Linked DNA regions of Notamacropus eugenii. The main gene of each other region encodes a partner of the protein of the gene in region 4 in a complex. Links are inferred from orthologs where the notes say so. Each region holds a gene or a part of one and is shown on either strand. Other genes may lie near its edges. The genes, in order: CWC15, PLRG1, PPIL2 and CRNKL1.

Evidence for each region.
Region 1: CRNKL1 (region 4) and CWC15 share a complex: the UniProt entries of both Homo sapiens proteins name them as parts of the minor spliceosome. The link is inferred for Notamacropus eugenii from reciprocal best matches to the Homo sapiens genes CRNKL1 and CWC15.
Region 2: CRNKL1 (region 4) and PLRG1 share a complex: the UniProt entries of both Homo sapiens proteins name them as parts of the minor spliceosome. The link is inferred for Notamacropus eugenii from reciprocal best matches to the Homo sapiens genes CRNKL1 and PLRG1.
Region 3: CRNKL1 (region 4) and PPIL2 share a complex: the UniProt entries of both Homo sapiens proteins name them as parts of the minor spliceosome. The link is inferred for Notamacropus eugenii from reciprocal best matches to the Homo sapiens genes CRNKL1 and PPIL2.

The regions. Positions count from the first base shown.
Region 1 is NC_092876.1:163,313,173-163,320,553, reverse strand, and holds the start of CWC15 (spliceosome-associated protein CWC15 homolog), read right to left. Parts: upstream 3,013-7,381; 5' UTR 2,331-3,012; intron 1,410-2,330; 5' UTR 1,402-1,409; coding exon 1,271-1,401; intron 1-1,270. UniProt on the Homo sapiens protein: Involved in pre-mRNA splicing as component of the spliceosome. Component of the PRP19-CDC5L complex that forms an integral part of the spliceosome and is required for activating pre-mRNA splicing.
Region 2 is NC_092877.1:153,068,672-153,075,881, reverse strand, and holds the start of PLRG1 (pleiotropic regulator 1), read left to right. Parts: upstream 1-4,208; 5' UTR 4,209-4,366; coding exon 4,367-4,375; intron 4,376-7,210. UniProt on the Homo sapiens protein: Involved in pre-mRNA splicing as component of the spliceosome. Component of the PRP19-CDC5L complex that forms an integral part of the spliceosome and is required for activating pre-mRNA splicing.
Region 3 is NC_092875.1:8,219,062-8,225,993, reverse strand, and holds the start of PPIL2 (RING-type E3 ubiquitin-protein ligase PPIL2), read right to left. Parts: upstream 3,017-6,932; 5' UTR 1,438-3,016; coding exon 1,211-1,437; intron 1,125-1,210; coding exon 1,075-1,124; intron 344-1,074; coding exon 298-343; intron 1-297. Other genes in the region: SLC7A4 (cationic amino acid transporter 4), read right to left, coding at 4,566-4,765, 5,792-5,900. UniProt on the Homo sapiens protein: Has a ubiquitin-protein ligase activity acting as an E3 ubiquitin protein ligase or as an ubiquitin-ubiquitin ligase promoting elongation of ubiquitin chains on substrates.
Region 4 is NC_092872.1:595,317,749-595,325,144, forward strand, and holds the start of CRNKL1 (crooked neck-like protein 1), read right to left. Parts: upstream 3,004-7,396; 5' UTR 2,869-3,003; coding exon 2,818-2,868; intron 1,283-2,817; coding exon 1,130-1,282; intron 1-1,129. Other genes in the region: CFAP61 (cilia- and flagella-associated protein 61), read left to right, coding at 7,288-7,396. UniProt on the Homo sapiens protein: Involved in pre-mRNA splicing process. As a component of the minor spliceosome, involved in the splicing of U12-type introns in pre-mRNAs.

The DNA.
Region 1 (7,381 bases), on a different chromosome or scaffold from region 4:
ACAATCCCTCTAGAGGTTATCCATTTTCAGTTTTACTGAACAAAACTAATGGCATTGACTATAGTGCCCAGTGAAGTAATGTCTGCTTGGTCTAAAAATATTTCTGTAGCTTTTAGACTTGATTATTATGTGCTTTAAGAATGTTTATCAATCTCTGTCCTTCTTGGAGAGGCAGCATGAATCTCTTTCTATAGCTACCTTACAGTGATGGATCCTATGTTTCATTAACATTGTAGAGGATGTGTTAGGATACTTTTCAAACCTGTTACGACCATTTCGAAGTTCCAGAAGTGTATATTAAGACTGGCACTGAGTAGGTATTAATTGCTCTTAATGTATTATTCTGATTCTACTTTAATTTCATGATTCCAGCAAGTCTCAACATGGTCACATCTGTCTCCTTGATTATCTTTTATGCTCAACACATCTTGCTTTGAGAAAACTAAAGCATTAGTAGGTGTCACCTTTATACTTGACCTCTGGATTCAATCTGAATCTAGCTTTTCTTGGCATACACTCATTGTATTTAAATGACTATTATCTTATTCATCTCATTTATGGAGTTTAGACAGTAATGATTATTTTTTTATTGTAGAGTATAGAAAAGGGTAAAGCAAGTAATATGAGATGGGGAGTGAATATATTTGAATGCCTGAAACTCAAATTACAAGCCAGGGTATTAGCACAAAGACATTATAGGTAAGAGATTCATATGGGTGCTTAAAAACCCATTACAATACTTCAAGGTCTAAATGCATGTGTGAGGTACTTGGGATACCTGGAGTCTGATTTTTGATCAGTAAGTAATCAGGAGTATAATGATGAAAATAAAGTTCAAAATCAAAAAAGTTCTTGCTACTACTGGTAGGATGGACTAAATGCAAGGACACTAATTAAATATGCTTGAATTTACGTACAGTGTCAAGTCAGGCCATGTTTAGCAGGAAAGAAAAACTTAATCTCAATTAGATATGAGGACCATAAAAAACACAATCTCATGGCACAGAAGAGTTTTATGATCATCATGTCTGTGCGTTGACACAGACATAGTTGTGTTTATGTGCCTGTGTACCCAACACTAAAAAAAAATTTTCATTATACATTAAAGAATGAAATTTATGTCAATGTTCATATTTTATTGCTAATTCTCTGGTAACTGACATATATAGCAACACCCTATTATCCAGAAGAGGTCGTTACAGAACCCCATACAAAATTTCTTCTGCCTTTTAAGAAAAACTCTCTACAAGAAACATTTAGTCATTATTACCTGTATTTAATTTTCGTATGAGAAGGTAGATCTCTGCTTGAATACTGCTTTGAAAGCTGACTCAAATCCCCTTCCCCTTTCCCTCTTCCACCTCTTGCAGGTTCAAATGTAGGCCTTGCCGCTGTGGTCATCTTCGAGGCTTCATGGATATACAATTATATTCAGTCACATGTCCATACTTAAGAAAATTATTAGTTTTAAAAACAGTTAAAATCCTATGCAAAAGAGCTTTCAAAATTCATTTAACTGAACGCATCACCACCATCCCCTTTTCTGTAACTTTTTCTATCTGTACCTTTATTGAAAGACCATAAACATCACCACGGCACGTAGACTGTGAGAACACCCTCGCCCCCCAAACAATGACCTACCATAGCAAATTACAAGTCCTGGGAAGGTGAGGAAGCGATCATTCTTAGGGCCACAAGCCTTGGCAAGTAGTACTGGCTTTCTCATCTCCATCAGACTCAGGGAGGCAGGCAGGGCTGCGCAAGGTCTCCGGCCTCACCTTCTGGGTCGAGGGGCCAGATACGGCTCAGGACGGCCTGCGGTGGCCCAGAAGGCCGTGGGGCACCTAGGGTCTTTTTGGGTTTTTTTCTATTTTTAAAGTTTATTGCCCCAAATGAGCATGCAGCTCATAACGATGTGGCACGAATTGGTTATGTTTTCTTTTGTAAATTCTAACTTTCCAGCCAAGGTCTCCATGTTCCAGACGTCAACAATACAAAAGAAGATACCCCAGAGTCGGCCCTCAAGAGGCTTACGCAGTAATGGGGGGTGAGGGCGGCAGGGCCCCCGGTAACTAATGCAAAAGGGAGACTCGGGGAAGTACCACCGGAAATCCGAGGAGACCCGGGGACGGACAGCAAAGGCGAAAGCGCCAGCAGCATCCCGAGCCCGGGCCTTCCCTTCACACCCGACCCCGGGGCCCTAGAACCCGTGCGGCTTGGCTTCTCCCTTCAGCTCTCCTGCCTCTCCACATCTCCCAGCCCCACTGCTCCCCAAAAAACTCTTTTTTTCCCCGTGAGCTAAAGAGAGAGAGGTCTCTGGAATCACTTACTTCAGGTCCCACGGCCCTCCGATATTATGCCAGCACCATTACTCCTCCACCTTCCCACAACTCTCCGCGCCGGGACCCCCAAAGAGCATAGAGTTTGAAAACAACTCGACTCTCTTTTACCGGAAAAGAAAAACAAGGTGGCGGAGACGCGCTTAACGGAAGGCGTCATATGACCAAAGCCAACAGCCAATCGTCGGGGAGAAAGGCCGCCGACGGGGCGGGAATAGAAGCGGAAGTCGCTAGGACGCCCGGGAGAGGCAAGCCAGAGCCCGCCCTTTCCGGTTAACTGTAGGTCGGCTGGCCAACAGTCATTCATCCAGTTCTTTGCTAGGCTCTTTCTTCCTCACACTCTTCTCTCCAAAGGCTTCTTCCCTTCCACCTCGCCCCAGCTCTCTTTGTCCTTGCCCTGCGCGGAGCCAGACGGAAGGAAGCCATGACTTGTGGACGGCGCCGCCCTCGTGTGGCCGCCAGGGGTCGACTATGAGTCCCTTGGCCTGCCTGAGGGGGACGCGGCTCCCCAGGCCTGGGCCGCCCGTTTTCTCCCTATGCAGCCGGACCGATACTTTTTTGACAAACAAAAGAGCTTCCCTGAACCCGAGGAGAGAGCCGTCGAAGGTGTCTCTGGGGAGACGGAAAAGGAGGTGGGCGAGTCGTGTGTCACTGCTTGACCCCTTAGGTGCCCCTTTGGTATCCGGGCAACGACTGGGAAACTAGAAGCCCCCTGCCCCTGGCCTCCCCATCTGCCTTAAGTCCGCGGACCAGGGCCAGAGCCCGGCCGGATGAGAGGCTTTGGAATGGGCTGTGATGAGGATGCCTGAAGGGCAGGGGAGAGAGCTGCCCAAGTCCGGGGGAGAAGATACCCAGGGCCGTAGGTTTCTTGAGTCCCTCGTGTCGCTCTTGTAAATACATTACCCTGTAAATAGAACTGAATTCATAAACAGATCCCCGCGTTTAGCGCGGAGCACTGATCTAATAATAAGTAATTTTTAAAAATCAGAGAAGAGGCCGTGTAGTACAGAGGTGTCAGACACAGGTTGCTTGTGGGTCTGCCACACTCCCAGAACCAGATTACTATGTAATTGGGAAGGAGCGAACAAAATAAAAATATAATAAAACGGTTAAAATTACATTTTAAAGCTAAGTCAATATATAGTGGCAGGGGTTTTTGCGTGTGGATTAGTATTGCCCGTTTTTTTCAGTTTGACACCACTGGAGTGGACCAGAGGAGCAGGCGGTGAGGCCAAAAAACCCTGACTCTGACACATAGTGACTTAAGGGGCACATTGTCGAACCCTCTCAATGCTCCAGCAACGCTTAAAGCAGCAGAGGAGATGTTGATTTGCACTAGGGGAGAGATTTCCCCAACCAGACACAGGGTTTCCCATCCAGGGGTGGGGAACCTGCAGCCTCAAGGCAGCATGTGGCCTTCTAGGTCCTTGACTGAGTCCAAATTTTATGGAACAAATCCTTTTATTAAGGGGATTTGTTCTGGGAAGTTTGGATTCAGTCAAAGGGCTGCACTTGAAGACCTAGAGGGTCAAATGTGACCTGGAGGCCACATGTTCCCCACCCCTGCCAGCCCAAATCAGATAATAAGGTTAGAGATAACCTGGAGTAGTGGAAGAGTTCAAAGACAAGAATGAAAAAGAGTTGGGTGCAAGTCCTGCCCCTGGCACATTGGCTTTTAAGCCTGGGCACATCATGCAACCTCTATGTGCCTAAAGAGAATTCCTTAGGATTGACATTCTAAGCAAAAATTTGAAGGTTCCTTTGGTAGAACCTGCTTCTGTTGAAGGAGTACCTACACAGGCATAAAGTGACAGATAACTGTAGCTTTTGTCACGGATCCATGGATATTTCAACTTCAAAAAGACTAGAAGCTAGTGGTTTAAGCAATGTCTTGAGCAGTGCTCATTTTGGAAGGGAGAAGTGATCAGGAACCCAGAGATTCCCAGTGTTTTTTACACTTGGTTTTATGAGATTTCTTATTTCTTATATTGCTACATTTAGAAATCATTTGTTAAAGAATGTGAACTAAGATAAAATCTTAGACATCTTTCTCTACAGATAAGGAAATTAGCAAAGATGAGAATTCAGCACTTCTAACACCGTTTTTATTCCAACTATATTATCATTACTGTGGTACACCAACTTTGAAATTTCTTAATTCTTATTCAGTGTTACACAAGGAAAAGTTGAGAATGAAAACTCAGAAATCTAGAAAATGTGAAGTAAATGAGAAAAGGAATGCAGCAAAGGGCCAATAAGGGCACCTGCTCAACTAGATGGGTTCTAACCATGTTTATCCTTACTTTGATTTTGGGTCCTTGATAGGTATTGAATTTCCTTTTTTAGAATGTGGAGACTCCTCTTAGGGACTTGACAGCTTGGGAGCATTGATTAGGAAGGATATCTTCATTTGAATAACTTGTTGACCTAGACACATTTTATTAAGGGAATGATTAAGGAATTATTTGAGTGAGTCAGCTTATTATGGACTTGAGCCGTATCTCCATATTGGATCTTTGAAAGGGTAGGATTGGTAGGATTCAGTCAGAAAAATCCTGAGGAGATGTGAAAGTAGGCTTTCGTCCCTGACATCCTGAGCACTGGCAGGTATCCTGGGGGATCCCTTCCTGCTCCAGCACCAGAGATGGTAGGCCAGAGAAAATGGAGGGGAGGGGGAACAATGGTGGAGTCAAGGATCTGTAAGAGTTACTGAATTAGGCCTGGAGTCAGGAAGACCAGACTTCAGGTCTGGCTTCCAGCACTGACTACTTGTGTGATCCTGGGAAAGTCATTTCACCTCTTTTTGCATCAGTTTCTTTACCTGCAAAATGGAGATGATAATAGCACTTACATCTCAGGGTTGTTAAGAAGATCAAATGAGATGATGATTTTAAAGCCCTTGGCAGAGGGCTTGGCACATAGTAAGTGCTATATAAATGTTAGCTATCATTATCATTAAAGTCAAAAAGACAGCTCAAGGCCTGCCTCTGGCATATTCTAGCCGTATGACCATGGAAGAGTTAGGCAACTAACCATCTTAAGTCTGTTAATTAGGAAACAACTGCTTTGGTAGAGGGAATTTCCTCGCCTGGAATTCCCTACACAGATTTGGAGACTATCCCTACATAATTACATGTTCGTAATGATTGTAATTTTAAAACTGAAAAAGAATCTTAGAGACTACTGAGTCCAACCCCCTGACTTTTTAGATGGGGAAACTGAGGTCCAGAGAGTACAGTGACATACCCATGTCCTCTGACTTCAAATCTAGTGCTCTTCCTCAAGCACTATACCTGCCCTGCTGTGTGCCTTTTCATTGCCCTTTGATTAATCCTTAAATTTAGTTCTTTGAAGACTGTAGTGTCACAGCCATATGTCATTACCAGAAGAATATTCATGCTATAAAATATGATCCTTTTTTCTTTTTGTGATGTTGAAAAATGTTCAAGAGACATAGTTCCTGGGAAATTTAATCATGTTATTACTAAGAACAGCAGGTTACTAATAAAAGGATGGTCATTTGGCTGCCTCTCTTAGACCAAAGACAGCCATGGCAGTGGGGCTCATAGTTTATCTACCCTTCCAATGAGGGGCTCATGTCATCCATCATCACATCACCCTTGGACAGAGAAGACTATTTCTACTCAGACCACCTGCAGCCTTGGGCTATCTAGACAAAAGGATCTGTACCCCCTTCCCCAAGCCTGAGGAGTACACGGTGGACTTCCCCAACCTAGATTAAATTCCTTGCAAGATTGGGTGGGGTCTGATTAAGATCTAGGAGAGTCATTGCAATCTCATTATCAGTAATGTCCTTCAAGAAAACTGAATTTTTTAAAATGAGAAATTTAGAAAAAAGGGAGAGCCTCTGAATCTCCCCTAGATGTTGGTTGTTAATCATTTTTCACACCCTCAGGAAGAAACTTTGCCATTTCCCTAAAAAAATCTAGCTCACTCCACTATTCTTCCACTTCAATTCTGAGCTAAGGTCATTGTCCATTAATAGTGTCTATTTATGATATATATATTTTTTAATGGACAAAGATTTCTCGATTTACTAGTATATGTAAATAGTGGGTGCTAGTATGAAAAGATGTATAGGCAGGGTCCCTGATATGCAAGTTGAAGGCAGAGACCCATAGAATGTCTAGAACCTATCACAGGGCTTTGCAAATAGGTACTACAATAAATGTTTGCTGAATTGACACAATAGAAAAATCACCGAAACTCGGAATGACAGGCAGTTTCAAGGTAATCTTATCCAAGTTGTACCTGAAAATGTGGGTATTCAGCTTTGGCATTAAGAATTTCCAAAGCCAGTGAATCTACCACTTCCAGAGACAGCCCATTCCACCCTGGACAGCTTTGATTTCAAAGAGCTTTTTCCTTACATGAAGTCAGAATCAGCCTCTTTGTAACTTCCATTCACAGTTGTTAGATCTGCCCTTTGAGTTCAACCACCACGAATCAGTACTCATCTTTGTACACCATCCTCTCAATCATGTAGACTTAAAACTTCATTATCTCTGAACCCTGTCTTGTTCCTGCCTCCCCTTTTCTCTTCACTACTTCCCCAGTGACATACTCCTGGAGAACCAGATCAAAACCTACTTTAGATTTTTTTAAGGCTTTATAACAATTTCCATCTACATATTTGTAACAGTAAGCACCCCAACATACACAGGGGGCCTGCTATCACAGGTTCTTAGGTCTGCATTTATAAAAAGAAAGGTGACTTTTGAGGGGTTAACAATCACTTTAATCACATGTATCATTCCTTTAACCAAGGATATATATTATTCACCTAGTTCAGGGGAGTCAGCACCCTGAACTTAAAAGAAAATACAGAGAAATCAAAGATCAATAGACATGGCTTCCTCTGCCTGACCATAATTCAACAGACAAGTCCAGCTGTCTGACCATGGTTACCAGAGAGGGAAGCACTGACATCTGGGTTTTCAAAGCCAGTGGGCTCTTTAGTGGCTTCCCAGAGTCATTGTCTGGCCAAACAAACACTTCCAGTCAGTCAGTCCCAAAGTAAA
Region 2 (7,210 bases), on a different chromosome or scaffold from region 4:
TAGGCTGTTTTCCTCACAATCCTGTGAGTTCAGTGGTGCAAGCATTAATATTCTTGTTTACTGATGATGAAGCTGAGCCTCAGATGGGTGGGCACTTGCACACAATCACACAGCTAGCAAATTTCTAACTAGTATCACAACCTGGATTGGAGAATTCCAGGCATGGGGGAGAGTCAGTGAAAATACCTGGCGTTTAGAGATGGAATGTTTTGGTAAAGGAACAAACAACAAGGAAGCCAGTGCACTGGACTATACATTGTATGGAGGGGAGCAGGATATAAGAAGACTGGAAAGGTATTAGGAAGTGAGTTTATGAAATGTTTCAAGCCAAAAAATTTGTGTCATAGGCCCAGTTTGATACCCACTAAATGTGTGACTTTGGCCATGAGTTTCCTTCTATGTTGAAAAAAAAGTGGGTAGGTGGGTGAGGCAGAATTGGACATCAAGGAACAATAGTTGGATGAGGGCAGATCCATACTGAGCACCAAGAAGGTAAAGTCCTGGATCCCTAAGGAGATGAAGATAGTAGCTCAAACTCCATCTTCTACCAGAGGTCTTTTCTAGCCTCCACCCTCCAACGTAAGTACTTCCCCTTAGAGACTACCTTCCCTACACTGTCAATCAGTACTGTGTATAAAGTTCTATGCACGTTGTCTCCATCAGAATGGAGACTTCTTGAAGGCAGAAATTGCCATTTTTTACTCCCAGGACATGGCACAATTCCTGGCATGTAGGAAAGGCTTAATGAATGATTATTGAGCCACAGAGGGATCTATGAGTGTGTTGGAGCATAGCTGAATCTTGAAGAATGTGGCAGTCCCTCAGAATGATAAGGTCAAAATGTCTTTGGTTTCTGTTTATTCAAGGGGCACAGGTTTTCTTGCTGATTTTCCATTTCCATCTCTACCCCACTTCTTGCTGCCTGCATTGGGTCACTCTTATCGATTTTCCTCCTTCCTTTCTCTTTCCCTCCTTTCTCTTACGGTTTATAAACAGAAAAAGGAGCTATGAGGATCTAAAATTCCCTAGAAGGATACACAAAAACAATACTAAAAAAGTTCCACCCTGTATCTGAAAAATTATTAAAACAAAAGAAATGCACCTCAGTGAATGGAGTATTTGCAGACACAGAAGAAGCAGATGGTCATTATGCCACTTATAGATTCTCCATGATGTCTTGTTCCTACTTATTGCCTTTCCATCAAGATAGCTAAGAAGGCAGGAAAAGACAGAAGGCCTTAGGAGAGAGCAGCATACAGGTGTGCAAATGAGATAGAAACAAAGGGGGGAAAGGGAATGAATCAAGGGAACATATGACTACAAGATAGTTATTCAACCAAATGCCTCTGCTAAATCAAATCTCAATATTTCAAAGATCTATGATTTTATCTGCATATTCCTACTATCAATGTAGTTTGCAAACTATTAAAAAAAGCAGAAAACAACCGAACAAAAAAGCATCATCCAGTGGACAAACATATGATCAATTTCTCTCAACGTGACCAGGTTGGTTCTAAGTTGACAAACGTAGTTCACCTCTGATCTGCAGTAGAAGCTTTATTAGTCTGGTATCTGTCAGTGCTTGTGCTCCACTGGCATGGATTCTGAGAAACTCGCAAAAACTCCATGCCGGAGGCAAAGCAGGCATCCTATAGGTAAATGGAAAGGAAAGGGGTCTATGGAAAAGTGGCTGGGAGATGGAAGTGGGGATGGGGTTTTTGGAAACACTAACAGGTATCAAGGAAAATGTATTATAGCAGAATTCAGAGGAATTGAACACCTTTGGCCAAATTAGGGCCAACCTCCCCCCCTCCCCCCCTTCCCACCTTAGGAAGAAAGAATACTGAATACAGAAGCGAGATGAGCTATATACTGTTAGTTCAAGACAGATTCTCACACCAGGAGCTGGATTGGTCCGTTTTCCATTAGGTCACCACCTTCTCTACATGCCCATTATGTAACCACCCTTTGTGTGATCACCACTCCCAAACATGTTTTAACGTAAGACCCATGACCAGAAAATGGAGGGATAATTCTATGCCAGGTGCGTCTGCTTAGATACATTGTGGCCAAGGGCCTGCGGTCCCCACGTGGCTTGGTGACAGTGGTGAAGAAGAAAGACACATGGGCAGGTGGGAGTAGACAGGGCAACTCCGTTTATTGATCTGAGGGTCAGATATATAGAGAGAAACTGCATGTCTATGTGCTCATCTCCAGTCCTAGTGATTTGGCCAGTCTTATTGTCTTTAAAGACCGTTAGTCTAGAAGGCATCTATTTTATATATCCCTTGTATTCTGTAGTTCTCTTGTCTCACAGAGACATCAATATCTGGCTGGCATGGAGAGCCATTCCAGTCTCAAAGAACAGTTTCCCCAAGGCCCATCCTGAACTAGTCAACTGCACTCCATCCTGGCCCTCAACAATACATGAGATTCATTAAGCAAGCACAGTGAAGAAAAGTTTTCTCCAGCTTATTCTAGGTCATTTTCCTTGACTGGTTCTGGCCAGTTTCAGGCCTGGACCTGCTTATCAAAAAATTTATGACTTTTTAAAGACCACCTTTTTGCATGTCCTGACTGGTTGAGTCCACCTGCACTCTGCTGGCTTTCTTATTATCTGATTTATTCTCCATGACTTCATCAACTAGTAACTGTGGAAATTTCACTTTTGGCTGTCTCTCATAGGGTTCTTGCTAACTTGCTGGGTCATAAGATTTACAGATCTACATCTCCATCTGGCAGTCAGTACCTCTCCTATCCTCAAACTTTTTAGTGATCATATATGAGCTCTGAGGCCCTTTCCTCATCTAAATCCATCAACCACTGTTGAACCCCGTTTTTGTCAGAAACTGGGGTCCAGAGAAATGAAACTATGTCAGTGGTCACTTAGTGATAATGTTTAATATAAAATTTTGTAATAATCTCTTTGTTCTCTCTGAAGCAAACTCAGAGAATGTCTCTTCTTATGTCAACAAAAGCCAGCCAGGGCTGACTTAACATTCCTTAAGAGACCTTTAACCTAAGACACTATCTTGAATAACGGGATGGTTTCCATATCTTAGTATTTGTAGACATATACTATGTTATGGCATGTTAACAGTAAAGAAAACACAGACATCTTGGGTCGTAATTTCTACCTGAAACTTTGTCAAACTCTGTTATCTTATTGTATTTACAACCTATGCAATTAAGAAATTCCTTTCTAATGGTCTAGTGAATCACTTATGGAGACCATAAATCTGAAGAAAGCAGAACACTTCTTTGTCCTAAAGCAGATGTAAGGCTGCTTAATTCGGTAGTCAGAACATTTCTGGCTCCATAATGCATTGTGTTACCATTGTCTTTAATAGGGAATTGATCAATGAATAAATTAAATCATAAAATGCTTGCATTTAGCCTGTTGCCTTTACTATAACCAAGTTTTCAGGTCAACATCAGGAAATAAGGAGAAGAGCTGGGGCCTGGATCCGGCTGCCTTGTCCTATCTCCCCTTTAATTTCTCATATAACACAGGGTCCTAACTTTCTCAAGCCTAGGGATTTGCAATCCTGTTAGAAATCATTTAGTCCAATCCCCAAATTTTAAGGAAAAAAAAAGAAACTCAGGCACAGAAGGAGAAAAAGGTCTCTTCCCCTGCGGCACTGGGGGGAACCAGGTATCCCCCTCCTGCAGCTCCAGGCCCGGGGGTCCCCCGCCTGCGGCTCCAGGCCGGGGGTCCTCCACCTGTGGCTCCAGGCCCGGGGGTCCCCGCCTGCGGCTCCGGGGCTACCCCACGACACAGTTCATCTGCCCTGCACAAAGGGCCAGACTGAGACAAACGCCATCTCCTCCCTTCCTTGTCTCAGGCTAAGATGAAGGTCTAGCTATGAAGGAACATGACAGCCATCACACAAGTGGGGAAACCAGGCTAAGTGCCCTGCCCATGCCCACAGGGCAGTAAGTCCTGAGGATCAGACACGTGGAGGTGAAAGGGAGCCAACCCCTCATTTTACAGATTAGGAAACTGAGGCTCGGAGAGAAACAGAATTCGGGGCTAGGATTTCCCGCCCGCAAGCCAAGCGGTCTATCCAGGACACGCTATTGGCTCTACGGAAAAAGCAGAGCTCATCCGGTACAGCCACCACCAAGGTTGCGGCTTCCTCCAACGGTGGGACGGAGACAGTTCTGGAAGCTAAACCCCATCGTCCTTTTCGAGCCCGCGCAGGCGCAACAGCTACCATCCAATGGGCATGCGCCCCCTTGCGTCACATCCGGCGCCGGCGCCTCCGGACTCCGGAAGCAGCCGCGTCGCGGTGGCGGCGGGAGCTCTGTCTGGATTTCGGTTTCTCCTTTCTCCGTTCGCGGGGCGGGCGACGTGGTCGGCGTCATGGTGGAGGTGAGTGACGGGTGCGCGTGAGGGCGAGCCGCCGGCCTCTGGGCGCGCGAGGCTGCGGCCGGCCGTTTGTCCGCCGCCGGGGCTGGCTCGGGCTCTGCGGGAGCGGCGGTTTGATGAAAGCGAGAGGAGGCCGCGACCCGGCCCCGGCCCCGCCCCCCGCGCGAGTGGAGGAGTGGGCGTGCGCGGCCCCGCGAGACCCCCGAGCTCCGGGCCCGAGCCCGCGGGGCTGCTTCTCGGCCGGGCAGCGACCCCAGCAGCGCCTTCCCGGCCTCCCGCCTCCAACCCCCCCCCCCTTCCTCCTCCCGCTCTGCCCCTTGGCCCGCCTGCCGGTGGGCATGGTGAGTGGCGTCCGCCGTGGTGGTGCCACCGAAATGCCATGGCATCGCTGCGTTATGCCTTCAGCGTGAAGCAGTGCAGACCTCCCCCGCCCCGTCCTGTGGGGGCCTTCCTGGCGCCTGCTGCGTGGGCATGAGAGGGGCATTGGGGAGGCGGCTGGGAAGGGGGCTGGAGCCAGGAGAACCCCTATGGAGCAGGGCCGTGGTTGGGACCGCAGTGCAGAGCCCCCCGCCAGATCACCGTTCCTTCTCGATACCCCGTTTTTTGGGCTGCGCCTTAAGCAGCTGCTAGTGAATGTGCGGGTGTGGGGCCGGGCGGGCTTGGAACGGAACCTCGTGAAGTGGCCTGGAGAGTGTGATGGCTTACGTCACATCTGCCAAGTGGGGTCGGTTCTGGCACCGTGTGGTGTCGGGTGAAACTTTCATCGTACACTTCATCGTGTTCATACGCTTTAAACTTACGAGCCGCATCTCACGGAGCTCTCCACACTCTGTGATATTTAGAATTTGTTATTGTAAGCCCCGTTAAAATTGAATTTTTAAAGATTAAATCTCTGTCTACAGTTTCATCAGGTAAAACCTTTCCTCACTGCATGTGATAAATGATAATCTGTAACAGCGCAGTAAATGTAATATGGTTTACAGTATTTAAATGCAAGAGGAAAATTCACAGTTGCAAGTTACTTGTTAGAAATTTGGGGTTCGGTTCTATCAGTAACACTTTTCTGCCATTTCTTGGAGTTGTTCCATTATCAGTCGTTACTTCCGCATGAGCTTTGCAGTTTAAAATGATTGCCTTCTCATTTTGTCTTTGACACTTGTCATTGACTACAAAGTCTGTATTTTTGTAAATACACCTGACAGTTGGGATGCTATTTGTTATTAACTGCCAAGACTGTATTTTCGTAAAGGAACAATAAATTTTCAAGGAATTTGCTATTTCCCCTAAAGTTAGACTGAGACAAAATTTAGACGTTTTACAGTATTTGTGAAGCTAATTTGCAATCAGATGTAAATTCTAAGAAAACTAATTAGCTTCAGAGATTGTAAGCAGAGCTATACCAGTTCAGTTTAAAGGACGTTAAACGCCTGCATTAACCCCATGTGAAGGAAATTGCTTTAACCTAAAGGCTACATCAGTGGTATGGAAAGGAAACAGTGATGTGAACAATTCAGAACACTGTTCAGAGGCTACTCTTAGCAGAACACTGGTGAATATGACATGGATTAGGACTTGGGTCCATTTGTATAAGCAGGCTAATCCAGTGACCAGATGGCTCTGGAGAAGCCAGGCTGGTGACCTACACAGCCCTCCCTCACTCAAAACAAAGTCAGTCATGTCATCATTTCTCTGGTGGCATGGTCTTCTTCGGCCACAAAAGACAAACACAGTCCTGTGAGTAGATGCAGCTGGCTGAATGGGTAACTCAGCTCCTCCTCTCCTCTCTGCCTCCCCCTCCCCTTTCTTCTTTCCAAAGGACTGTAAATTTGGATGGCCAAAAGATGCCCGGTGGTCTTGGGTTTTACTGGTCCCTTTCCTTCCTTTCCTTTGCCTTCCATTCCCTTCCCTTTCTCCTGTTCTGTGCTGACCTATCCTCTCCCAAAACCCTAAACCTACACAAATTGGGAGTGCAATGGGCCCCTGCCTAAGGGCTCCTCTTGACCCTCCTAGCTTTACAGTGATTATCGATAGTAACTGTTACTGGTTCCCACCCAGCCTGATGTCTTTGTTTTTCTTGACCTCGTTAAGGGGGCCATGCCTTGTCTTCTTAAATGGCCTGTTCAATGAATGGGCGTTGCCTCACCCTAAGTGGGTACCTGCATAGACCTTGACCTAAAGGGGCCAAGGTCTCCCAGTGCATCCTGAGTCATCTCCAGTCATCCTGATGAATACCTGGTCCCTGGATTCAGATGGCTCTGGAGGAGAAGTGAGGCTGGTGACCCGCCCAGCCCTCCCTCACTCAAAACAAAGTCAAGTGACAGTCATGTTATCATTTCTCTGATGGCATTGTCTTGTTCGGCAACGAAGGACGAACACAATAAGCAGGTTAACTTTGTTCAGTGTAGTTTTCCATTGTTGCTTTTTGCTTTTAGAATATTAGTGCCTCAAATAAAACTTAGCATTTACATAGATGGCTCTTTAATGTTTGCAAAACTTTTTACATTATCACAATAACCCTGTAAGGCAGATGCATGTGTTTATACTCATTTTAGCAGTGAGGAAACTGAGGAAACCCCCAACCTCACCCAGGTATTAAAGAATTTGAGGTAGGATTGGAATTCAGGAATTACTGACTTTCCATTCTAACACTTAGCTTCCTCTCTGATGCTAATTCCTGCTTATTACAGGCAGCTTAGAAAATCCTTTTTCACCCTATTGATGCATTTTTCTCATTTCCTTAGCCTATCTCCAGTTTGGATTTTGGTAGAGAAATAAATATTACACTTTATATGTTCAATTGATAAGACTTTAATCAGACTATATGAAGCTGTATAACTG
Region 3 (6,932 bases), on a different chromosome or scaffold from region 4:
GGGTCTCCCTGGCCCCCCATGAAGAGGAGAGCTGCCAGAGGGCAGGGAAGGGCTCCCTTGTGCCTGTGTCCCCAGCATTCAGCCCAGCGCCTGCCACAGAGCCAGGGCTTTCTCAGTGAGTGCCATTCGCCGTGTTACCACCCTCCCTCCCTCCCCGCAGCCTCTGAGCCCCCGAGGGCCAGCCTGAACCCCCGAGTGTCGGTGGCTGGGACCACGGTCCTCCGTGGAGTGGCCTGGAGCCAAAAGCCGCTCACACGGGCTCATCCAACAGCCCACGGGGGGCAGGGAAGCTCTTACCTGCAGTGGTCAAACGGCAGGCGCCGGAAGTTCGCCTGTGGGAGATCTGTGTGAAACGAAGCGGGGGCCGGCGTCACAGCTGGCTCTGGAAGCAAGGCCGCCAGGGGGCTCCTACGGGCACCCCCAATTCCAGTGCCCTGGCGGAGGAGGGGCAGCAGCGCCCATCTCCCGGCCCCGCTCTCTCGGAACCCTGGCCCAGGCCCCACCTCGGCTTCAGGCTGCTCACCAGCCAGCCCCAGCATTCCAGGGGTCACCCTGGACGCCCCCGGACCCTTGTAACGCCAAGGCCCTGCCACCCAGGCCGGAAGGAGCCCGAGTCCAAGGGCCTCCCTGGAGCCCTGGCCGTGCCCTGCGCCGTCCTGGGCACCCACTTTCACGTCCTGCTGCAGCCCCTTCCTCCTCGTGGGCCCCCCAGCGAGCACTTATTAAGCACCAACTGTGTGCCAGGAGCGGAACGCTCCCTGCCCTCCAAGCGCGGACGCTTCTTCAGGAGACAAGGGGTAGGTCTATAAGGCCCGTTTGGGGGGGGGGCGGCAGCCGGGGGGCCAGGACAGACTTTCTGCAGAGAGAGGAGGGGGATTCTGGGGCAGCTGTAAGGAGAAGCACCCCAGGCAACGGGGGCAGCCGTGCAAAGGCGCAGAGGCGGGAGATGAGGCGTCGCGGGGGCTAAACAAGGCAGAGCTGGGGGGGGCGCTCGAGGAACACGATTGAGACAACGGTGAGAAGATGCTCCCCCCGCCCGGGGTCCCCGGGGTCGGGCCGGCGGCGGGTACTCACCCGGCTTCTTGCCCCCGTAGAAGTGCGTGTACTCGGCGCAGGTGATGTACCTGAAAAGGGAGGCGAGCGTCACGCCACGCCGCGGAGGGCGGCCCCGCCCCCCGCCCCCCGCCCCCCGCGGAGCGCCGGCCCTCACATCTTATCCTTCTGGTGCTGCCGCTTCCCCATGGCGGCGGCGGGGTCGGGGCCGGGGTCTGCCACCCGGGCGCCCCCGAGCTCAGGCCCTCCCAGACAGCCGGCGGGCCGCCCGCGCAGCCCACTTCCGGGGTGCCTCCGGAACTTCCGGTGAGTCTTCCGGAAGTCTGTGGTGTGCCGGGAAATGTAGTCCCGCGGGTGGGGCGGGGGCCCGCCGTCACGGAGCATGTGCGGGGAAAGTCAGCGAGGCGAGGTCCCGTATGGAGAGTACCCTAAAATGACAGAGGGCCGTGGGACCCCCGAAAATCGCCCCCGCGATCTGGAGATTCGCCCAGGAAAGGACCTTGGAGCTCATAGGGACCCATCTCGTACAACCCCCTCGTTTTACAGATGGGGAAGCTGAGGCACGTTTGTCCAAGGACGCGCAGGTTCTAGGTGGCAAATGCAGGCATTCGAACGCAGGTCCTCATCTCCAGCCCCCTTGTTTGATAAATGAGGGTTCTGAGGTCCAGAGAGGGAAACCCTTTAATCCACACCAGCCCCCCGTTAGTTCCCAGGCAGCAGGATCCATCAGATTCAATTAAACAACCACATTAAGCGGCCCTGCAGGGGAAAGGCCAAGGAGGGCTGAGGACGCAGGTGGGAGCCCCAAGCAGTGGATGAGCTCCAGCACAAAGGAAAGGGAGGAGGACGGATGACGTCACCCCTCCGCCTTACGGTCTGGGAGGCCACTCAGGCACCATCCCTCCGGCTGCGCCCTGGGCCTCACAGTTAGAGCCACACCTCCTGGGGCAAGGTTTTACGTGGGTTGTATATGTTGATCATCGGCCATAACAGAAACGAAAACAGCTTGGTGTTGTAAGAAAATAGTTTTGGAAGAATCCCAGAAAGGGTCTCAGGGACCCCCAGGCTACACTTTGAGAGCTGCTGCCTTAATTTACAGATGAGAACTTTGAGGTTCAGGGAGGCGAAGGTGCAACCCAGCCTTTCCCCTATGGTGATAAATCTGGGGTCAGGGTCATGGGCCAGTCTGGATCTGTGGCTGAACCTTAGTTTGTAAGAAAGGCTAGTACTACTTCCGGGACTGCGGTGATGCCTCCTTATTGTCAGGGACCCCCAGGGATCCCTGTAAAGCTTCCTTCCCTTCCCCTTCCCCGATGTTTGGCTCATTCTGGATGCAAAGGTCGGAATTCTGGAGCCAGAGAATAAGCTAGTGCCTCAAGGAGTCCCAAAAGAAAGGGCACCTTAACTGGGGCAGGAGAGGACAGTTCTTAACTCTGGGAGCATTAATGGAGGCAAAGGTGGTCTGTTATGGGAGGAGGGACGGGAGTCAGGGGCTCCAGAAATGGGAAGTCACCTCCCTGCAACGTGTGCCTCCTTGAGAGCGTGGGGTAGGAGAGGACAGAATGTTCTTTAGCTCGTGCCCTGGACAGCCCGGAGTCTAAACGCACTCTTCACCATCTTTGTGTGTGTGTAATTGGTTCCCCATCCCTCCCTCTCTCTCTCACACACACAACATGCAAGCTTGCTATGTGTAAAGCGACATAAAAATACGTATGAATTAGAAATGGTCAGTAGAAGGGAATTGGGAAGGGTTTCTTCTGCCAGGTGAGCTTTTACTCTGGACTTGAAGGAAGCCTCAGGAGCCAGGGAGCGGATGCAGGGGTATAAGCGGAGTCTTCTGTTCCACCCTGGAGAGGAGAGGGAGTCTCTAGGGATGATTGAGTGGGGGAGGGTGACATGGTCAGGCCTGCCTTAGGAAGATCAGTTTGACAGCTGAGTGGGGTACACTGGAGTGGGGAGAGCCCAGCAGCTGGCACTGGCAGGAGGGGATGTGGGCTTGCATCAGGGCGGGGCAGCTTCGGAGAGAAGGGGGCGTGTACCAGAAACATTGCGAACTCGGCTTCTGATTGGCTGCAGAGGATGAGGGGAAGTGAGGTGCTGAGGCTGACACCTGGGCTCGGAGCCTGGAGGCTCTCGACTGCACTAAGACTGTTAGGAAGAGGAGAGGGTTTGGGCAGGAAGACGAGTTATGTTTAAGGCTCGATATCCCGCACAAAACATCCACCAGGCAGCTCTACAGAGACGTGAAGCCCACGGTCAGCAGAAAGGTCAGAGATGGAATCTGAGAAGCAGGCCTAGAGGCCCAGGCCTCCCCACTATCTACAACCCAGAAAAGGAAGGATGGAGAGGATCGTTAACCCATTTCAGAGGAGGAAACTGAGGCTTACCAGAGGTGAAACTTGATAACTCGAACGAGGTGCTGACCCACCTCTTCTGCCTTCTGTACCAAGCCTTCCTGATCCAGGGCCATACCCATGCATGGATACCGCATACAATACTCTGTATATAGCTTGCACACCCTAGTTATCTAAGTCCACCCCATTAGAATATGGGTCCCTTGAGGGCAGGGACTGGGTTTTTTTTGGCCTTTCTCAGGATCCAGGTGCTTAGTCCAGGACTGGGCACAAAGAAGGCCCTTTCCAATCTGCCTCATTGACTGACTGTGGGCTATGCTGCTCAGGGAGCCCAGGTGTCCCTAGCTCCGAAGGGTGTGAAGGCCCGTGGGAGCCCTGAGCCCAGCCACATGGAGGGAGCCCTTCTGACTCATCCCCACAGCAAAGGGAGAGATCGGCTCCCTCAGAAGCAAACAGACCACGTTTCATCGCTGGGTGTGCCGTGACTGAGACAGGGTACCTGGCACAGTAGGTGCTTATTCATGGATGGACTGAGGAGAGACTGCTTAGATCACCCCTCAAGATAGCTGGGGAGAGAGACCCCAGGTCCTTGGAGACAAACCATGAGCAGATCCGTCCCCATCAGAGCTGGCTCTTCCCTTTCCTGGGCCCCACCGCCCCCTCTGTTGAGAACAAAGACAGAAAGTTCTGTGTGGGTTGTTGGTATCGGTATTAACATTCTTCACCGTACCAGCTGTCTCAATGGCATACACAGCACCAGCAAAGAAAAAATGTATAATTGCTTATAATCAGTCATCACTCTTTCCAGATGCCTCCAAGCTCTCCAAACTTCTCCTAACCCTCCGGGCCCTTGGACATGACTCACTAGAAGCAAGGGCTCCCCATGGGTGCTTCCCCCAGCCCTCTGCCCCCATGCCCCACCCCCAGACAGACATCTATGGGCCACTTCCAGAGTGGCTGGTTGTAGGGGCCTCAGGGTCAGGCCAACAGGAGGAAGGCAGGGAAGGTGGGTGGGGGAGATTGCTCTCACAATATGCTTCCTTCCTCCTCAGAGGGAGGCTCCAAGGGTGCTGGAAGAGAGCCATAAGGGGTGGGGGAGGAGAAGCCAGGCCTGCCAGCCCCTGGTAGTGAGGACCCTTCTGAACAGTTTGCTGGGCATCAGCCGCTGCTCCCCGGGCTAGGACTGTCAGCGCTGGGAGGAGGTCCTGAGCTGGCTTGGCCAGGGGGCTGCACTGTTTCCACAGTCTCCTCAAGGCTTCCACTGGGGAATACCACATATCGGGTGCTGCCTGAACCCTGAGCGTCCTTCACATTCTCCTTGCTGTGTCTGATTCCATAGCCAAAGTAGACGCCAAGCCCTGTGGGGGTTAGGGGAAAGAAAGGTTAGGCTGCCCAGGAGGCCTGTGCCCATCTGAGAGGAAAGCATACAAGAGGTTACCCAGCCTCTGCCAAAACATCTGTAGGCATAGGAAGCTACCATTTAAGGCAGCCCATTCTAATCGTAAGCTTTTCCTGACATCAAACAGAAATACCACAGTGTACAACAACCTGACGGAGCTGTTCAGAAAGAGGTGTTCAGTCTGTTCTGTTTAGTTCTAGAAAGTAGAACCTTCCCATTGGTAAAGGAGTCACAGGGCTTCATATATTGAGACATTATCTAACGGTGAAAGTGTCCAAATGAGAACGGGGCTGCCCCAGACATCACAAGATCCCCACGACTTCTGGTCTTCCTACAGGGGTCACATGACCTCTTCCTAGTCAGGGATGCTGGGTTAAGACCCAGATCCTTAACCTGGGATTAAGAACTCTTTTTAAAAAATATTTTGACAACTATTTTAAAATTGTGTTTCCTTTGTAATCCTGTGTATTTTATTTTGTGCATTTAAAAACATTATTGTGAGAAGAGGTTGCCAGACTGCCACAAACAACCTGGTCACATTCCCCTGCCCAGGTTTAGATTCTCTCTCCTTTAAGGTCCCAGGGAACCGGGGACTTCTGATTCTGCTTAGGAGCCTGGGGTCAGGAAGGGAGAGTCCAGCCAGACCAGACAAGATAGACTGAGAAGAGGCACAGAAAGCTTCCACTCTCAGCTGTCTCCTCCTCCCCAACCTGAGCCCTCAAAGCGAGCCCCAATCAGATGGTAAAATGGTCATAGTTTATTTGAAAGGGATAAAGTCCCCTCCTCAGGGCAGGAACAGAATATAAACTAGAAGCCCCTTGAGAGCAGGGGACATTGATCTCCAGGGTTCACAAAGCACCTGGCCCTCGGTAGATGTCTGCTGCATTGAAAGGCAGTGGTGTGTGGAGATGACAGTGGTTCCCAGCCCTGGAGAGACCCTATCAGCCCCTGAGAATGAGAAGCCAGAGCTCACTTGGACACTCACCTGCCAGTAACCAGATAGCAAAACGCAGCCAGGTCATATAGCTCAATTTCATCATGAGACAGATATTCAGAAGGATGCTCAGGGCTGGAATCAGAGGCACCCAAGGGATCTAGGAGACAGTGGAGGGCAAGGTTGAAGCACAGAGTAGTGGGGAAAGAGTGGGAGAGGGGAACTGGGCAGGTAGGGGTGTGATCTGCTCAGCTCACCCCCCTCCCAGAGGCTCAGGTGTGGTCACAACAGTACCAGGGTTGTGAGCATAACCAAAATCTCTCTCCTTCATCTACACTGGCTCCTTATTCCCTCTCTTCTTCCATCTCAACCCTTCCAACCTCCACCAAGAATGAGGAGAATCATCATTGGCTCTGAAATCAATTTTGTTTAGAAATATACAGTCAAATAGAAGCTCGAGCAGCTAAGCTAAGAACCCCAGGTGCCAAGAGGGGACTTGGTCGGTGTGGGAGTGGGCAAGTGTGTCCTAAAGGGGATTCTAGGGGTCCCAGAGGTGAGTGTGGGAAGGATTTGCACCCAGGTGGAGGAGTCAGTATATGTGCTGAGGTAGTCATTTAGTCAGCCAACAAGTAGATATTCAGTGCATACTATGTGTTAGACATTGTGCATAAATGTGTGAGTGCTCCTTTGGAATGAAAGAATGAAAAACCTTTGCAGTCAAGTCCTCCTCCCAATCCCTCAGGCTCTTAAACCAGGGGTCATCCTGGATCCCTCACTAGCTTGAACCCCCCCACATACATTCAAGCTGGTTTAAAGGCCTGTCAATTTCACCTCTGCAGCATCTCTTGTTCATTTCACCATTGCAACATCTCTGATCAGTTTCAACTGTACAGCATCTGATGTCCATTCCACCTTTGCAACATCTCTTGCATATAACCTCCTTCTCTCCTCTGACACTTCCCCAACCTTGGAGCAGACCCTCATCACATCACACCAGGACTGTAGCAATAGCTATTAGGGATGGGTGTGGGGAAGGGGAGGTCTGCCTGCCTTGAGTCTCTCCCGTTCCAATCCACCCTCCACTCAGTTACGAAAGTCATTTTCCTAAAGTGCAGGTCCAAGCATGTCACCCCTACTCACCATGGCTTTGATGCCTTCCCATGTTTCCGGTCTTTTACCTTATTCCCCCCCA
Region 4 (7,396 bases):
CATTCTAAAACCTGAATTTGAAGGAACCTATCTGTGAAATGAGATAGGTACTTTGAACATATCCTTATGATGCCAAATTCCATCGGGATGACAAAGGAGAAAAACAGCAGAATATATCCAATAATGAATAGTGTGTTAAAAATCTTAATGCTTTATGTATTGTAATCTAAGCAGATTTAACTTGGCATACAGTTTAGTAATTATTTGTTCAAAAATTATCATAAAAATAACATTAGCAAAAACATTCAAAATAAGGAAGAAATTACATAAAACTTTATCATTTAGTAAAATCAGACCAAACAAACTGCTGGTGCATATAAAGGAGGCAAAATATGCAGAGCCTCTTGTTGAGTATTTCATTCTAATTGGGATGTCTTCTCCCTGCTACCAATCTTGTTTAGAGCCTGAACATTTTAAAAAATTATCATTATGCTGTCATTCCTTCAGTGGATTGATTCTGGTTGAAAAACAGAAGAAAAAAGAAGATTTTACCTCTTTAGGCAAAATCTAACTGGCTAATGATTAATTAATAGTGACAAAATGAACGTCCCAAGAGGCCATGGACTACAGGAATTCATTACTGACAGAAAACATCAAGGTCAGTCTTAGCTATGCAGTCTTGATTAAATCACTTAAGGTTGCAGAGCCTCAGTTCCTTTATTAGTAAAATGGGGATAATTGGTAAAATTGGTAAAATGGGAGCTAGGCAGCGCAGGGCTTTGAGTGCTGGGTCTACAGTCAGGAAGATCTGAATTCAAATTTCACTTCGGACAGTTACTAGCCATGTAACCCTGGGTAAGTCACTTAATCTCTAAATTTTCACAACTGAAAAATGGGGAGAATAAGAGCACCTCTTTCCCAGGGTTGCTGTGAAGATCAAATGAGATAATATTTGGAAAGTGCTTGGTAAAGAACCTGGCACACAGCTGGCTCTTCATAAATGCTTGTCCCCTTCTCCCTTCTCTTGTACTACCCATTCCACAGAAGTTTTGTGAGGCAAGCAGTTTGTAAATCTTATATGTCAGCTATTAATAATATCCATGTTAGCCTCTCTAAACAAGCTCTCAGCCAACCAGCTTTATGGTTCACAGCACTCCCCTGAAAGGGCTGAAGTCTACTTTTTACTTACCTTTCTTTTCCTTAGTTTATAATCATTTAATTCTTCTTCATCTGTGATCTTCTGTTGAGGAGGTGGTGGCAGAAGCTCAAGCTCTCTTTCTTTAGCTTCCCTCAAAAGCTGTTCTGCTGTGATCTGTACTTCAGCAGGGGCTTTGTTTTTCACCTTAAAAATGAAATAGATTTATCTTTGGTATCTGCACTTTTACAAACTTTCAAATAACAACTATATCTGTAACTGTTATATGTGCGTATGTATACATAAATTTCTGGACCATATTACAAGATACTCTATTCAGCAGATTATGTTTGACTTCTTTATGAAATTATACACAATGCTTTACTGCTTGTAGCTTAGTTTTGTCTTAAGGGAGAGTTAGCAATAAAATGAAGAGCAGTATATACTTGTGGCTTAGCATAAAAATAAATTTGGATCTTGGAGGAAATACTTTGAATGTAATTTTGATATGATGTTTTAATTTCTTTTAAAAATATGTATCATATTTTAGTCATGTTAATAAAGAAACCTTGTTTACAGAATTCTTTTTCTTATTCCCCTTAAAGTCATAAATGAATTAAATGGTCTGAAACATACGCTTATGTCTAAAGCCATATTTAAAACAGGAACCAGAAGATGTGAGTTCACATACCACCTCTGCCACTTACTGTGTGACCTTGAGCAGGACCTCTGACCCTATTTCCCTTAGCTGTAAAGGGAAGATAATATCCACACTACTTCCATTGTGAGGATGAAATAACAGAACAATACGTCACACTTTGGAAACTATAAGCTGGAAGCAAATATATTTGGAAGATAAGCCTGATTAAATAGGAAATTACAACTGAATACTTTTAACACCAAGATGGTAGTTATACACTGAGTTTGGGGGAGGAGAATAAGATCACTTTAAATGGAACCTAACTGGTTTTCTTGTTAAGAAGATGAGTATGGGGAACAACGTTTTGGTTTGGTTGCAAACGTTCTGTGTAGTTTCACAGTTGGCAAGAGAAACACATGGAAAAAGGGTTTGAATCATCTCTTGTAATGTTTTAGACCTAAAAGCTGCTTCAAGTGACTGTATTTGTGATTTTAAAGGGTTGAAAACAGACTTCGTACTACAGAGAAAGTATCTATTGAGTATAATGGAAATAGATTTTAGAGCCCAAAGGCCATCATGTATTTCGCAATGTTTATATGCTGACTCCCCCCAGAAGAGTATTACTTGATAAAAGTGGGGCTGCTGATGCCAAAGAACCCACTGGGTGGGATTTACACACATGGCAAACCAGTAAAGCCTCAGTAAGTCAGTCCTTGCCTAAGTGCGGGGTCGCAAGCACTGGGCTTTAGGAGCTTCTTTCGTCAGAAAGTTCTTTGTGCTTACAAGCCATGATGAACACATTATGTGCTAATATCGACATACACTGAGGCTCAATGAACAGGTGCTTCCTACAGACACGGTATGACTCTAAAATGACTGCCCACATCGTCGAGCCCCCGGGCCGCGGGGGGCACGCTGCCTCCGGAGGATTCCCAGTCATACGTGCTTTCTTCCCATTCCCTTCCCGGATCCCGGGAAAAACGGTCTCACGCCCCCAGGGAGCTTGCTTTTCCTCTCCCCACGGGCACAGGGGCTAAGAGACACCGACAACAGCCCTTCCTTCTTCCCGCCCCCTTCGGCGGCCCCACGGCCCCACCCCTACCTTGGCCACTTTGGGGATCCGCTGCTTTCCGGCCGCGGTAGAAGCTGCCATGTTTTCGAGAGTGGGTCCGCGAGCCTTGCAGAGCCCTCTCCGATCCTTCAATCTCCAGGAAACGGCCCCCAAGCGTCTCCAGCCAGTTCAAGAAGCCCCGGACAACAACTCCAAGCCGGAACCGGAAGCGGAACTGTCGTTATCGAGGCGTGACCCTTCACCCTTACCGTCGCGTGACGGGAGGGACGCTGTTTCTATAGTAACCGGCCTTCGGCGTCTGTTCCCGAGTTAGCCCGGAGAGTGCTGTAGCTGGGGTGAGTCCAATTAAGAAGGGTTCATCTGTGTGTAGCGGAGGGGTTCACAGGGTATTCTAACTGTGGTTTGCTTTAAGTGGCTTAGGGCCAAGGGATTTGGGCGTCAGGGAGAAGCTTTACAGGTGTTCCAAGCAAAGGCGCCTTGCGCTGAAACATGGAACAGTGCCCGGTAGACTTCGGGGGAGGGGAAAAAGCACAGACTACCACTCCCAGAAGGCAAAGCAACACCACTGTGGAAACACGTTATCTCGAGATTGGCCGTGTTGCTTCCTGGGTCTTGTAGTCTCAGTCTCTTAGAGCCGCTTCTGTTTTGACCTGAGAAGGAGGAGAGTACCGGGTTCTAGCACGGAGAATTTAGGAAAATAGAGGAAAACGAATAAACATTTATATAGCGCCTCCTGCACTGTGCTAAGCGCTTTACAAATTTGCCTCATTTGGCCCTCACAGCTGATGGGGTTCAGACTCTGGGAACCTCCTTGAATCTTCCCACTTAACCTGGCCTTTCCTACTCAAATCTGTTGCCCTTGGCCTAGCCTGGCCTTCCATTGGCTGTTAACTCTAGATTGCCCCGCCTTGCTTCCCACCCAAGCCCTCCATTGTCTGATACCTCCTAATTGCCTCCAGCTGCTCCATCCTGTGAATCAGGTGCTGTTATCCACATTTTACAGTTGAGGAAACTGAGGCAAGGGAGGTTAGTTAAGTGACTTGCCAGAGTTACACTGGTAAGTGTCTGAGGCAGAATTTGAATTCAGGCTTTCCAGACTCCAGGTCCAGCACTCTATCCGTTGTTCCGAAAAATAACTAATAATACTTTAAAAGTTTTAAAAACCTTATCAGTTATTTTAAAAGTAGAGTTTTCCCCCATTAAAAGTATACAGCTATGCCTTTGGTCGTTGAGGCAGATGGAATATATTCCAACAAACATGGTATAATGCGGTTATAGTGAAGTTCATTTTTTGGCATCAGGGCTCTACAACAATTGTTGTTTCAGTCTTTCAGTCATGTCCAACTCTGTGACCCCTTTTGGGAGCTTTTCTTGACAAAGTTACTGCGGTGGTTTTCCATTTCCTTCTCCAGCTTATTTAACAGATGAGGAAACTGAGGCAAACAAGGTTGTGACTTGCCCAGGGTTACATGGCTAGTGTCTGACGAGTCTTCCTGACTCCAGGAGCAGCACTCTATTCATTGGGATACTTAGTTGCCACTTAGCACTATGCCACCTCTTAGTAAGTGCTTAATAAATGCTTCATGGTTGACTGATAGTGTAAGTTACTGGGAAAAGAAATTGAAATTGATTAAATTTAAATTGGTGGATTGGGATAATTTGTATTTCATTCATCTATTAACCCTTTCTGGTTAGCCAATACTTGCCTATACATATGCGCGCACACACACACATACACACATGTATTTGACTTAGCCAGTATTAAAAGCACCTTTGTTGTGCCCATTTTATGCATAGATAAACTGTATTTTAGATATGTAAAGAATTACCAGCGGCATAAGCACTGCCAACTAAGAAAAGGGTGGAATTAGGGGACAGAGGTTTCCAATTTACTGGTTTCCATGAAGAGCCTGACATTTCATTCACATGCCCCCTAGTGGTGGAAGTAGGGCATAACTTCAGAGATGAGTGTTGGACTGTCACTCTGAACCTCATCTTTCATCATGGAAAAGTATCAGATAGTAGAATAACAGCTATCGAATCTAATAGTGAAACATGTTATTATTCCTCTTCATCCACTCTACATTCTAGTCAAATTAACTTTCTTGATTTTCCTTTTCCTGGAACTCCATCTCCACCTCCATGCCTTTATAGGCTCTCCTCTGCCAGGAAAGCATTTTCTCCCTTGGAGGGTTCTTAGATACCTTCAAGTTTCCCTTGATGTGTTGCCTCCTAAGGGGAAGCCTTTCTTGATCCACCTAGTTGTTAGTATTCTTTCCATTCCATCCATTTGTTTGTGTAAATATTAATAAGCCTCCAATACAATAAATGTTCCTGAGGGGACATAGCTAGATAACAGTAGTATGTCTTGGGATGGTCTTGATGTTTTAGTGGAGTGTGAGCTCAATGTGACCAGCAGCCAAAAAAAGATGATGCCATCTTAGGTCATATGGAGACGTATAATGTCCAGAACAAGGAGGGTGTCAGCCCTGCTGTACTCTGTCCGTAACTTATTTAGATTCTTATGTTTTTTTCTTCATGTCTCTTTTTAGGGAGGGCATTGGTAAACTAGAGAATGAACAGAGGTGGATGAATGGGATGCCAAAGGGTTTCCAGATCATGATATGCTAATCAAAGGACTTGGAATGTTTCACTTGGAAAAGAAAAGACAAAGGAGTGGGATGATGACCCTCTTCCAAATACTGGAATCAGACTCATCATTCTCTAGGCCATAGAGAGCAAGAACTAGGAAGTTACAGAGAGGCAAATTTGGGGTTGAAGTAAGGAAAAACTTTCTAGTAAGGGAATTGATATAACTATAGTATGGACTCCAATCACATCATATTTGGGCAGCTAGATGGCAAGTTCAAGACTTGGATCCATAAGATATGAATTTAAATTTGACCTCAGTCACATACTAGCTGTGTGAACCTAGACAAGTCTCCTAAGCTCTGTTTGCCTCAGTTTCTTCATCTGTAAAATGGAGATGGCAATAGTACCTACCTTATAGGGTTGTTGTGAGGATCAAGTGTGATAATATTTATAAAATGCTTTGTAAACCTTAAGGGGCCTTTATAAGTGCTAACATTATTAATTGGAATCCTGCATTTTCTTTTGGGCAAAATTGAAAATTGATTTTAATTCTATTTTTGCTAAGAATTGATCAAGCTAGATTTAATATTCCCCTTTGAGATTCCTTTCCCTTGTAAACTCACCCATCACCCACTTTTCAGAGAAACTCAACCTAAAAGCTCAAATCTTGTCAATTTAAACTGTTAAAGAAGCTCCTATCACCTACACACTTATCCTGTCCTTGGAAGATCTGTTACCATTACCTGAGAACCTTTGTCATAGTGACTCAAATCACATATCTTGGCTGTGGTTAAGGGGTTTTCAGAAGGTGAGGTTCAAATGATGTATGTCATCCATACCCAGTCAAAAGACCACACCTATGTTGCTCCAGATTTTACCCTGTCATCATGCGAATTGTTATGAAAAACCCTGTCAAACCTCACTCAAGGTTTTTGATCATCAAGTGAGACCATTGCTCCAACTTATTGGTTACTGCTAGCCTATCTAGCTATTTGATTATGCTCAGAATTTCACACCTCAGTTCATCTTAATTTCTGCTATAACAATTAGAACTATCCTGAAGTGGATTAGACTGTCTTGGAAAGTAGAGGTTTGAAACAAAAATAATCATTTTGGATTTGTTGTTCAAGGGATTTTTGTTCAGCTACAAAGTGAACTAAATGGCTTCTGAAGACCCTTCCAGTTCTCAAATTCAGAACATTTTCCTAAATTCATATATGTGTGTGTATGTATGTATGTATATTATATGTGTGTATATATATGTGTATGCATATATACAGAGAGAGCGGGAGAGACAAATTGGATAATCTCAGAAAGATAATTGATAAATAAAAAGTTACCATTATTGCTATCAGCATTTTAAAAGACTTTTTCACTTTGGGTTTGACAGAAATAGCTATGATTTTTTTTATCTAAATGTAAATCTAAATAGACATAATATTGTTTAAACAAAGTTATCCCAAGGCAAAATCAATCACTGGTTTTCTTTCCTTTTTTATAAACTGGAAGCAGCAGTGAATTTCCCTCCTAATACTTGGATACATACAATTGTGGTAAATTAAATATACTGAACCAGTAAATATTTCATTTCAGTCCCTTTCAACAACTGCTCTATAACATTTGGGAGAAGTTTTACTGGCAACAAAGAATACAGTTGTGGCGCTTTCTAGACAGACCAATTCTCAGAAACTGTATGAGCCGATCGAGAAATGTGTCTCGTAGTTTGTGGTGACAGCTGATACAATGTACCCCCAGGGAAAATCAGCTAGACTTATGTGGAAAATATTGTATTCACTTTGTCATTTTGGAAACCGAATTAGTATTTAATATTATAAGTACTGTAAGCGAGACAGCTAATCATTTCAGATTTATAATGGAGTGTTTTCTCTTTTCGTGAAAGGGCATAAAATGACATCATTGACTTCTCCAAGAGGCAGGGAAGAATTTGTCCATTGCAGAAGAACAGAATCACAAGATATTTACTGTATTAAGACTCTCATCAGAAAATTTACAGAAA